2 linked regions of the Coturnix japonica genome follow. The protein of the gene in region 1 interacts with the protein of each later gene in a pairwise test. Links are inferred from orthologs where the notes say so. Each region holds a gene or a part of one and is shown on either strand. Other genes may lie near its edges.

What was found.
Region 2: the proteins of FKBP1B (region 1) and RYR2 interact in binary tests that used the Homo sapiens proteins (3 or more experiments, as listed by UniProt). The link is inferred for Coturnix japonica from reciprocal best matches to the Homo sapiens genes FKBP1B and RYR2.

The regions. Positions count from the first base shown.
Region 1 is NC_029518.1:95,085,949-95,090,402, forward strand, and holds the start of FKBP1B (peptidyl-prolyl cis-trans isomerase FKBP1B), read left to right. Parts: upstream 1-1,504; 5' UTR 1,505-1,631; coding exon 1,632-1,668; intron 1,669-3,103; coding exon 3,104-3,151; intron 3,152-4,454. UniProt on the Homo sapiens protein: Has the potential to contribute to the immunosuppressive and toxic effects of FK506 and rapamycin. PPIases accelerate the folding of proteins. It catalyzes the cis-trans isomerization of proline imidic peptide bonds in oligopeptides.
Region 2 is NC_029518.1:33,724,295-33,728,666, forward strand, and holds the start of RYR2 (ryanodine receptor 2), read right to left. Parts: upstream 2,927-4,372; 5' UTR 2,791-2,926; coding exon 2,743-2,790; intron 1-2,742. UniProt on the Homo sapiens protein: Cytosolic calcium-activated calcium channel that mediates the release of Ca(2+) from the sarcoplasmic reticulum into the cytosol and thereby plays a key role in triggering cardiac muscle contraction. Aberrant channel activation can lead to cardiac arrhythmia.

The sequences.
Region 1 (4,454 bases):
ACCACTGCTCTTCTTCCTCATTCTATAGGAAGAGCATTACGGGCTCATACAGCAGTTGAAGGGAAGGGATCTTTGGAGGCCATACGGTGCAACAGCTAGTTCCAAGGTTTGGTCAGGTTCCCCAAAGCTTTGTATGGTAACTCACAATGTGAAGACTTCCCTGGTGTTGGAAATTCCCTTGTGATTCGTGTCCATTACCTCTTGCTGTGCGCTTCCACCCACATGAGGGAGCTGCAGACAGCAGCAGAAGCCCTCCCTTAGCTTTGTCTTATGCAGAACAGCCCCAGATCCTCGTCCCCTCCACCTATTACATGTTGGTGGCCCGTTACTGAACTGGGTCTGCCATGTCAGGGTCTTGCATTGGGGAGACAGAAGCTTGGGAGAGAGTGAGTTCAGCTCAAGACATTAATCTTAAACCAACGTTTTTTGGAAGCGGTAAATTGTATTGACCTCTTCTCTCCCTTAGGTCCTGGTGGCGAGGGATATTTGCCTCCATTTCTAAGCACATACTATCAAATTCATTGCTCTAGAAACCAGTATGTCAAGCACTGAGAGCCTTGAAAGCTGAGGCTAGAGGGCTTTATGCTTGAGACACAGACCTCTGAGCAGAGGAGGAGGTGGATGTAATGCAATAGCTTTGAAAGAGCATTCTTTAAAACATTAATCCCCTATAACTTGGTTTTAGCCGTTCTCTTGGTCATTCAAACACTTTCCATGTTGGCCCTGTTGTTCTTTTTGCCTCTCCTCCAATCCTCTGCCAATACTAAGCCATTTTCTCTTGTATTTCAGAGGCTTTCCTGAAGATATGTGGCATTCATTGCTTCAGCCTTCTCTTCCGAGCTCTTCATCTGCTGTGCAATTGTTAACACCAGTATCTTCAAGGGCCTCTATAGCACTGTGTGAGTACCGTAAGGTGAGAAACAACAGCACTGTCTGCTGTTTGATATCTGTGACAACAATTTGTGCCCACAGGAGGTTCAGGTTGGATATTAGGGAACATTTCTACTCAAGCTGGTTTGATATTGGAGTGGGCTGCCCAGGGAGGTGGTGGATCGCCATCCCTGGAGGTGTTCAAGAACAACAGAGATGTGGCAGTGAGGGCAGCCCCAGGCACAGCCGGACTAAGCTGACCTTGGTGGTCCTTCCCACCTTAATGATTCTACCAGCACCAGCTGCAGTTCTCGCACAGGCAAATGAACTGGCGATCTCACATCACGGGAGCAGCTACGGAATACATACACACATCTTCATCTTTAAAGCTGAGGGCGGTACCTGAGGGCGGGGGTGCCGCTGCCCTCCCCGAGCTGAGGGGGCCGCGCTGCTGGCGGCCTAGCATAGCATGGCATAGCATAGCATAGCATTGCATTGCATTGTATTGCATAGCATAGCGTACCACCGCACTGCATTGCACTGCACAGCAGCCCCGCGTCCCCGGGGAGCTGCGGGCGGAGGCTGGCGGCCCCCCTCCCCTCCCCTGCCTCCCCGCCCCTGCCCTGCATTGGCTGCGGGCTGCTGACGGGCAGCCGGGGAGGCCCCTGTCAGCCGGCCGCGGAGGGGCGTGCCTGCACTGGGGGTCCGGCAGCGCCGAGCCGAGCCGTGCCCAGGGCTGCCGATCGGAGCCCAGCGCCGAGATGGGGGTGGAGATCGAGACCATCTCTCCGGGAGACGGTACGAGCCGCAGCGGGGAACGGGCGGCAGGGCAGCCCTGCGGGGTGGGGGGGTGGCGGTGCCCGGCTGCGGGGTGCTGCCGTCGGACGGAGCTCCGACAGCGGGGAGCGGCCGTACCCGGAGCGCCGGGTCCCGGGAGGAGAGCGGAGGGGGCGGCGCGGGGGCCGGGGATTTTGCTGTGGTATCCGCCGACAGCTGCACGACGCCGGGAGCTGGCAGTCAATGGGGATCGTGAGGCCGGCACCGCCCCGCCGCAAACTTTGCCCGGCGCTCTGCCGGCTCCCCCGGGGGCGGGCGGCCATTTGGGGCAGCATCCATCCCTCCTCCGGTACCCGGCTGGGAGCGGCATCGCCCTGCGGAGCCTCGCGGTCAGGCTGCTGTGTCGTTTCATGGCTCTGCTTTTTGTTGCCATGATTTCTACGAGCCCGCAGCCCCCAAGATCCCACCATCCCCATCCGCCTCCAGCCCACATTCACCCTCAGCTCAACGCAATTCGCCGAAGTCCGTCCCTGTGTAACTTTCTCGGCCCGTTCTCTCTGCTTCCTCCGTGTGTACCTTTAAACTGCCCTCTCTCTCCGTGCTCTTGTCCGCGGGCATCTCGCTGTGCCCCTGGATGGGCGCTCAGATGTGGGCTCAGAACACCGTGTGGGTACCTGGGCTCCCAGTGCAGCACTGCGTGTGAGCTCTTAGATCTTTGGAAGCCATCAGCTATCCCAAATAAGGAGATATCGATCATTTCTCTTGCTTGACTGTTGCACCCACAGCTGGAGGGGCTGCAGCCACACACAGGCTGATGCTCAGGGTGTTCCAGTGATGCTCGGAAGCACCATCTTCTCCATTGCATGACACAGATCTCTGTTTGTGGTAGCCTGTTCTCCCGCAGCTTGTTTGGTGCTTTGGGCATACGAGTCCTGAATGCACAGCTTGTATTGTTAGCCGATGATTTACACACGATTTTGCATAACTTGCTCTCCTGTTAAGTCAGACTAAGGAGGCCAGAGATCCAAGATACAAACAAACCTTAGTTTCTATCTGAATCCCTATTTCCTGCCCTTATGACAATGCTGTTCATTAATCATTTGTATCATTCATACTTCCTAAGTTCTTGAGTCTCCCCTTGCTGACCCTCCCCTGGCCAGCACTGCTTTAGAGATCAAGGTTAGCTGAGCCAGTGTGCAGCCAACACCTCTATGAGCCCAGCAGATCTTCCCCCAGCCTGCAGTGCCTGGAGCAGGTAATATGAAAACAGTAATTCCATCTTTCATTGAGGAAATAAGCTAAGCCTTCATTTCGGGGTGAACGTTTTAGGGGGAGCTGCCAGGCTCTCATAAGGATTCATGATCTCTCTGTTCTACCATTGCTCAATACTAGAACATTAACATTGTTAACTGAAGGAAAAGAGAAAATATACAATAACCCGTTATCCTTTTAACAGGGCGGACGTTCCCGAAGAAGGGGCAGACGTGTGTGGTGCACTACACAGGTAAGGCATGTTCTGGTTGTTGTGTCCATGCCAGCTGCATTATGCCCAACAGTGTTGTATCAGTTCAGTTGTGGCTGTTGCTTTGTGCTGCCGTTCACAATCGATTTAATTGTGTTGTGATGGATTTCCTGAATGTTTGACTTGTAGTTCAGGCTGCAGTATCGAGATGCGCGCGCCAGTGAATTTGTCAAGAGTGGTGTTTAGTGGGGACAAGTTGGCAGATGAATCTGCACACCTGATTCTTTAAGTCATTCCATGAGCAAATGAAATCGAGCATGAAGCAGTGCAAATGCCAGGTTCGTATTTTTCCAGCCTCTGACCTTGATACAGACAATTCATGATTGTTTATATCTTAAAAGAATCTGCGTGCTGCTGGTAGAATTCATTCCAGTTTGAAGAGATCCATTCAAGGTCTGGTTAACACCTGCTTTGTGGGTATGCATGAATCTCAAGCAGTGAGTTTGCTGGTGGAGCTGGTTGTGCTGTACCTTTGCACGGAGGGAAAATGTCCTTTAAGTCAGTTTGCAATGTTGTCTTGTGTATTTAGTTATGTAAATTGTCATAAGAATGCAGAGACTTCTGCAGCCTGAGTCCTCGGTTGTGACGTTTGCATCAAGAGCTGCCATTTCAGGAGGTTTTCTCCTTAGAATGTAAAACATCACCATTTTCACTAGATACAGTTAATGAAGTTATATGCATTTATATATATAAATATATACATTTGTATTTCCAAGAAGCTTTTTAACATGGTTTGAATAATCTTTCTCCTCAGAGGGAGCACTGTTAGCACACTGGCTTAGGATATGAGGGGTTGGGGTTTGCTCTTGTATACATTTATATGTTCAGAGTATTTTTATCTAGGGTTTCTAATAGGAGTTAGAACAGTGTGGAAGTTAAACACATGGATCTCCCATGCCAGCTTCAGCTCTTGCAGACATTTCCTTGCACCTTGGATCTGAAAATGGGTGTTTTGAAGCTGTTTTTGTGAAGGTGCTGAAAGATACATTTCTATTCCAGCCCCAAATTCAGAAGTTTTCCTGCAAGAAAACTGTCACCTCCCACCTCCAGTTGGATTTAGACATGTGAGTGTCAGAGGTGAAAGAGGCAAACTTTGCAGAGGTGGCAGTGCATAGCGGTGGTGGCAGTGGTCTATGGCAGCCACAGTGTGCTGGGTAACTTCAGAGGGAGTGCAGACAATGAGTGTGGAAAGAGAACAAGGTGCTGCATGCTGTTCTTGGCATTAGATAGATGACTTAGTTGAGGCTTTCGTAACTTGGCTTTTGATATAGAAGACTTTATGACA
Region 2 (4,372 bases), about 61 Mb from region 1:
CTGCCATCAGGAACGTGACAAGCTTTAATAGCTACATTACAACATTTCTCATCACTTCTAGGTACAGAATAGCTTCCAAAACTCAGGACACCTCAACTAATGAAGGAGACTACTGTCAGTGAAGAAGCATGTAATTCACATGACTATACAAGATTTCCTTAAGGAGAGATGAGTCTATCTGAAGCTGAGTCTATCGGAAGTAATCTCAGCCAATGTAAGGATTGCTTCCAGAAGCCCAGAGCATTAACAAGTTACATTCATTTTCCAAAAGTGTCACATCAAACTCAAATTGTTCCAAAGAGAAACATAAAGCACCCAACCAGCAAATTTGTAGGAGGAAACGCATGACACCGCCTCATTAAAAAAAAATAAGATGAGCACCAAAAGAAGAGGAATCATTAGGCAAAGCAGGAATGCATGAAAACCTAAGTTTTATATGTGTGTATATGTATATGCATTCACAAAAATACATCAGCACATAGATGGCAAATACAAATCCAGTTTAATTACTACCTACAATGAAACGAATCTTTTTACTGAAGAAAGTCTCACATTTCTCTTGAAATATTACAAATGACAAATAGTATTTGAATTCCAGAGAAAATTCAAGATATCACAGGCATTTTGAAGTGTCAGAAAAAGACCCATTTTTTCAGAAAGTTTATCCAGACCTGTCAAAAGAAGAAAATTCAAAAAGCACTTTTTATATGTAGCAGGTCCACAGATGTCACGATTAAGGCATTCATTGCACAGAAAGCTTTTTTGCTGGTATAAGATGTTCTTTGTTGTCTTCTATTTTAACTACCAAAACCATTCACAAATCCATCTGTACCCAATTACTTCTTCAAAAATTAATAACTAAAAGGAGAAATCGAGGCAGCTACAAGGTAACATTTGATTTGCAGTGCTTTCTACCAAGGCCATTCAGAAAGCCATGTGTACCCAACAGCACTAGAGAATACTAAACCAAACAACTTTACGGACAGAAGAACTGAAACACTGAGGTTACACCTTAAAGCAACTGACTTCACCTAGTCATGATCATAACTTCAACAAAGCATAAGGAGAAGTTAAAAATTATTACTTGCATATAACTACAGGTTAGAGGGTCAAAAACTTCATGTGAAAAGGCTATTTCTCAGGTCTTTCATTATTTCACCACATGAATTCCCTTTCACCTCAGCTTATCACATTCAAGGTCATTTTCCATCAGTACAACATTCTACAGATTCTTTAAGCATGGTCTCAGGCTGCGTTGGCCAGAAATCTGTTAAGCCTGATGCACATTATCAGGAGTGCTGTTTTACGTAATGTGCTGCTGCTGTCAGGCGCTATAGTTCAGCACTACTCTATATGTACGCGGCAGTATTATCATGTCCACAGCTTCGCTTTCCCTATTAAGTATTCAGATAACAGCATATCATGAGCTAAGCCTAACACAGAGACCTGCAGTAAGCCTGTCTGTGACAGCACAAGTATTTCAAAAGCATTTTCCAGTAAGAGGACAAACAATAAAAACTTATACATTGATCTGACACATTCTCTTTCATCCAAGTATTTTCTGGTTTGTCTTCAGGTGTTACACAACATCACAGTAGGAACCAAATAATACCAAGAGGAAAAGAAAAGTTGACAATTTTCATGCCAGTGTTGCATAACACCCTTATCCCTCCCTGTATAACACCACAGTTTCCAAGAACTATAAACAAAAATAATAATTATTATTATAACAGAATGTACGTTTATTACTTTCCAGCTTCTGATTGGAGAGGAAAAAAAATAAAACCACAAGAAAATTGAGATCTAAGCTCCATAATGCTGCAAATGGCACATGAAGTGCTTTGCACAGGCTGTGCAATTTGCTTTCCTATCCTTTTAAAATACATTTTGTTGCTACACATCTGTCATTAACACTTCTTACATTGGACTGCATTAAAAAGGGGAAAACAAGGGTTACCATGCTATTTCAGCATCTCATTCTCTAACAGACACCTCAGCAATTTTTCCTAGAACTGTGACTGGGTTTGGATACTGCACCGTCTGAATACACCCATCTCCAAAACTTACTAGGACTGCAGTTACAAACAGCACTTGGGAGACGGTCCAGAAGGTGAACAAAGCATTGCACGAAGTAAAATAATCCAGAAAAGCAAGAAGCGCAGCCCCCCAGACAAATGAGCTAAACTCAGAGAAGAAACGCTCTAGCGCCTTTACGTGCTTTGGACTGAGGATGCTCACACCAAGAAAGAAGAGCTGTGTTAGTCCGTGCTCAGCGCGATGAACGCCTATAAGTTAGTGGGCACCTCGCTGGGGTGGGGAGGCGATTCGCTCAGCGCTGCTATTGCAGAAGGAGCGCGGTCGCAGCCCCGTAAGGCAGGAGCGCAGCCTGGTGAGTATCCGCAGTACGCGAGCACAGCGGCGGGTGGGAGCCGCGCTCAGATACTCGCGGGGGCGGCGGGGGCGCCCAGCACGCGCCTCCCCCTCCCGCGTGCCCCCGCACCGCCGCCTCCGCACCGTCCCCCTCTCATCCCAGCCCGGTTAAGCGGAGCCAGCTGTTACTCGCCCCCCACCACGTTCGCGGGCCCGGGGCACTTGCTCAGCAAAGCCCCGGCAGGGTTCCCCCCGCTGCTCCCTCGCCTCCCCGCCCGTTCACGCGACGTCCCCCATCAGTCCTCCTCAAAGCATCGCCCCCAGCCGCCTTCACCCCATGAGCCCCCGCCCCGAGCTCGGCGCGGCACTTACAGTTCGCAGGAACTGGATCTCGTCCTCGCCTTCGCCCCCCTCGGCCATAGCTCCCCCTCTCTCTCCTCCTCCCGGACGCTGCTCACAACCGCACCGCTCTGCGGCTGGGAGCGAACGGGCTGCGGGTGCCCGCGCGCCTGCCGCAGGTGGACAGCTCTGCCCGCCGCCGCGCCGCCAGTGCCTGCTACGGGCGGAGGGGGATGCGATTAACCGCGGGAAGGGGGGAGGAGCTCCCGACCCCCCCCGGCTGCTGCAGGTGATCCGCAGCCCGCTCCCTCCTTGCGCCGAGCCCGCCGCGCAGCGCCCCTTGCTGGCTGCTCCGCGGAGCTACGAATGCACGGCGCGGATTAGCCGGGCGTCGGCCTCTGAAACGTGCGAGAGTGGTTAAAGCAGGGTCAGTGACAGGCTGTACGACTGTCGTTGTTTTTACCTTCACACTGTTTGGAGGCATTGCGAAAAAGTAATACTTAATTTCTGTCAAGATCGTGGCAGCTGTGGATAAACAGTTCTTCTGATAGATGAGCAACTGCAAGTGCAGCCATAACCCACAAGGCCGACAGAACAGAGTCAGAGGTTCTACAGATGAGCTCCAGGGTTGACAGCTTAATCAGTCCCTTTATAATTTTCTGTTTTCATTGACTTCGAGAGATTTTTACCTCTCAAACTTGTTCCTGATGGAAAATACTTTTTTTCTAAGTATGAAAAAAATAGTGAAGAAACTACATTTCATATTGTTACAATACACAAACCTCTTAAGTATCCCTTCCTCCACATGATGAAGGATGTGAAATGTTGAAAGATATTTCTTGAAACAGACTCCTGCTAGGAGAAAAGTCTGGAGTCTGAATTTGAAGGTGCACTGAACAAATAACACCTCGATTGCACTTTATCCCAGAATAAGTCAGTTTCAGACAACAATTTGCAAACATTTCTTTTCTTATGAATGTAAAGGTCAATTCACTTCATTTTATGGGATGTGGTTCTCTATTCAGTAATAGGAGAATATTTTCCATATCGGTCTGTAGATGAGTGGTGAATGAGATGCCTGCTTTATTTACTGCATGTAAGGCAAGGACACGCAGTAAAAGGAAGAAAAGAAAAGAAAAAGCTATAAATAGTTCCCTGTGACATCATTGGCTGAAACAGTTTGTACAGTTTTCAGTACAACATTATGACATAATGAAATTTGTTCTTGGAACTGGTGATACCTGGTTGCCTACAGACATAGAGCTCATAATCGGGCTGCTTGTTGTTTAGTGAGATGCAAACTCCTCCTGAAAATTCTCATGCTATCAAATTTGTTGGACCTTCCCAGTTAGTTGAAGGATATCATGTGATAGCAAAGACCACATGTGGCTACGTAATTTGCATAAGAAACAAAGCAAAAAGTAGTAAAGATTAGTTTAATGGCTTTCTGAACAGGGTGAAAAAGATCAAATATAGTTGGAAGGAGATCTTCTTCCACTATTCATCAAGAACTATTATTTACATGTGCACATATGATACACGTACAATTATTAAATATAGAGTATGCACAAAATACAAAATCAGTGCATGCACAAAAAGGCCAAAACTAGATTTTTTAGCCATGGACTTTCTCTGTGTTACCTTAACCACAACAATCAGCTAC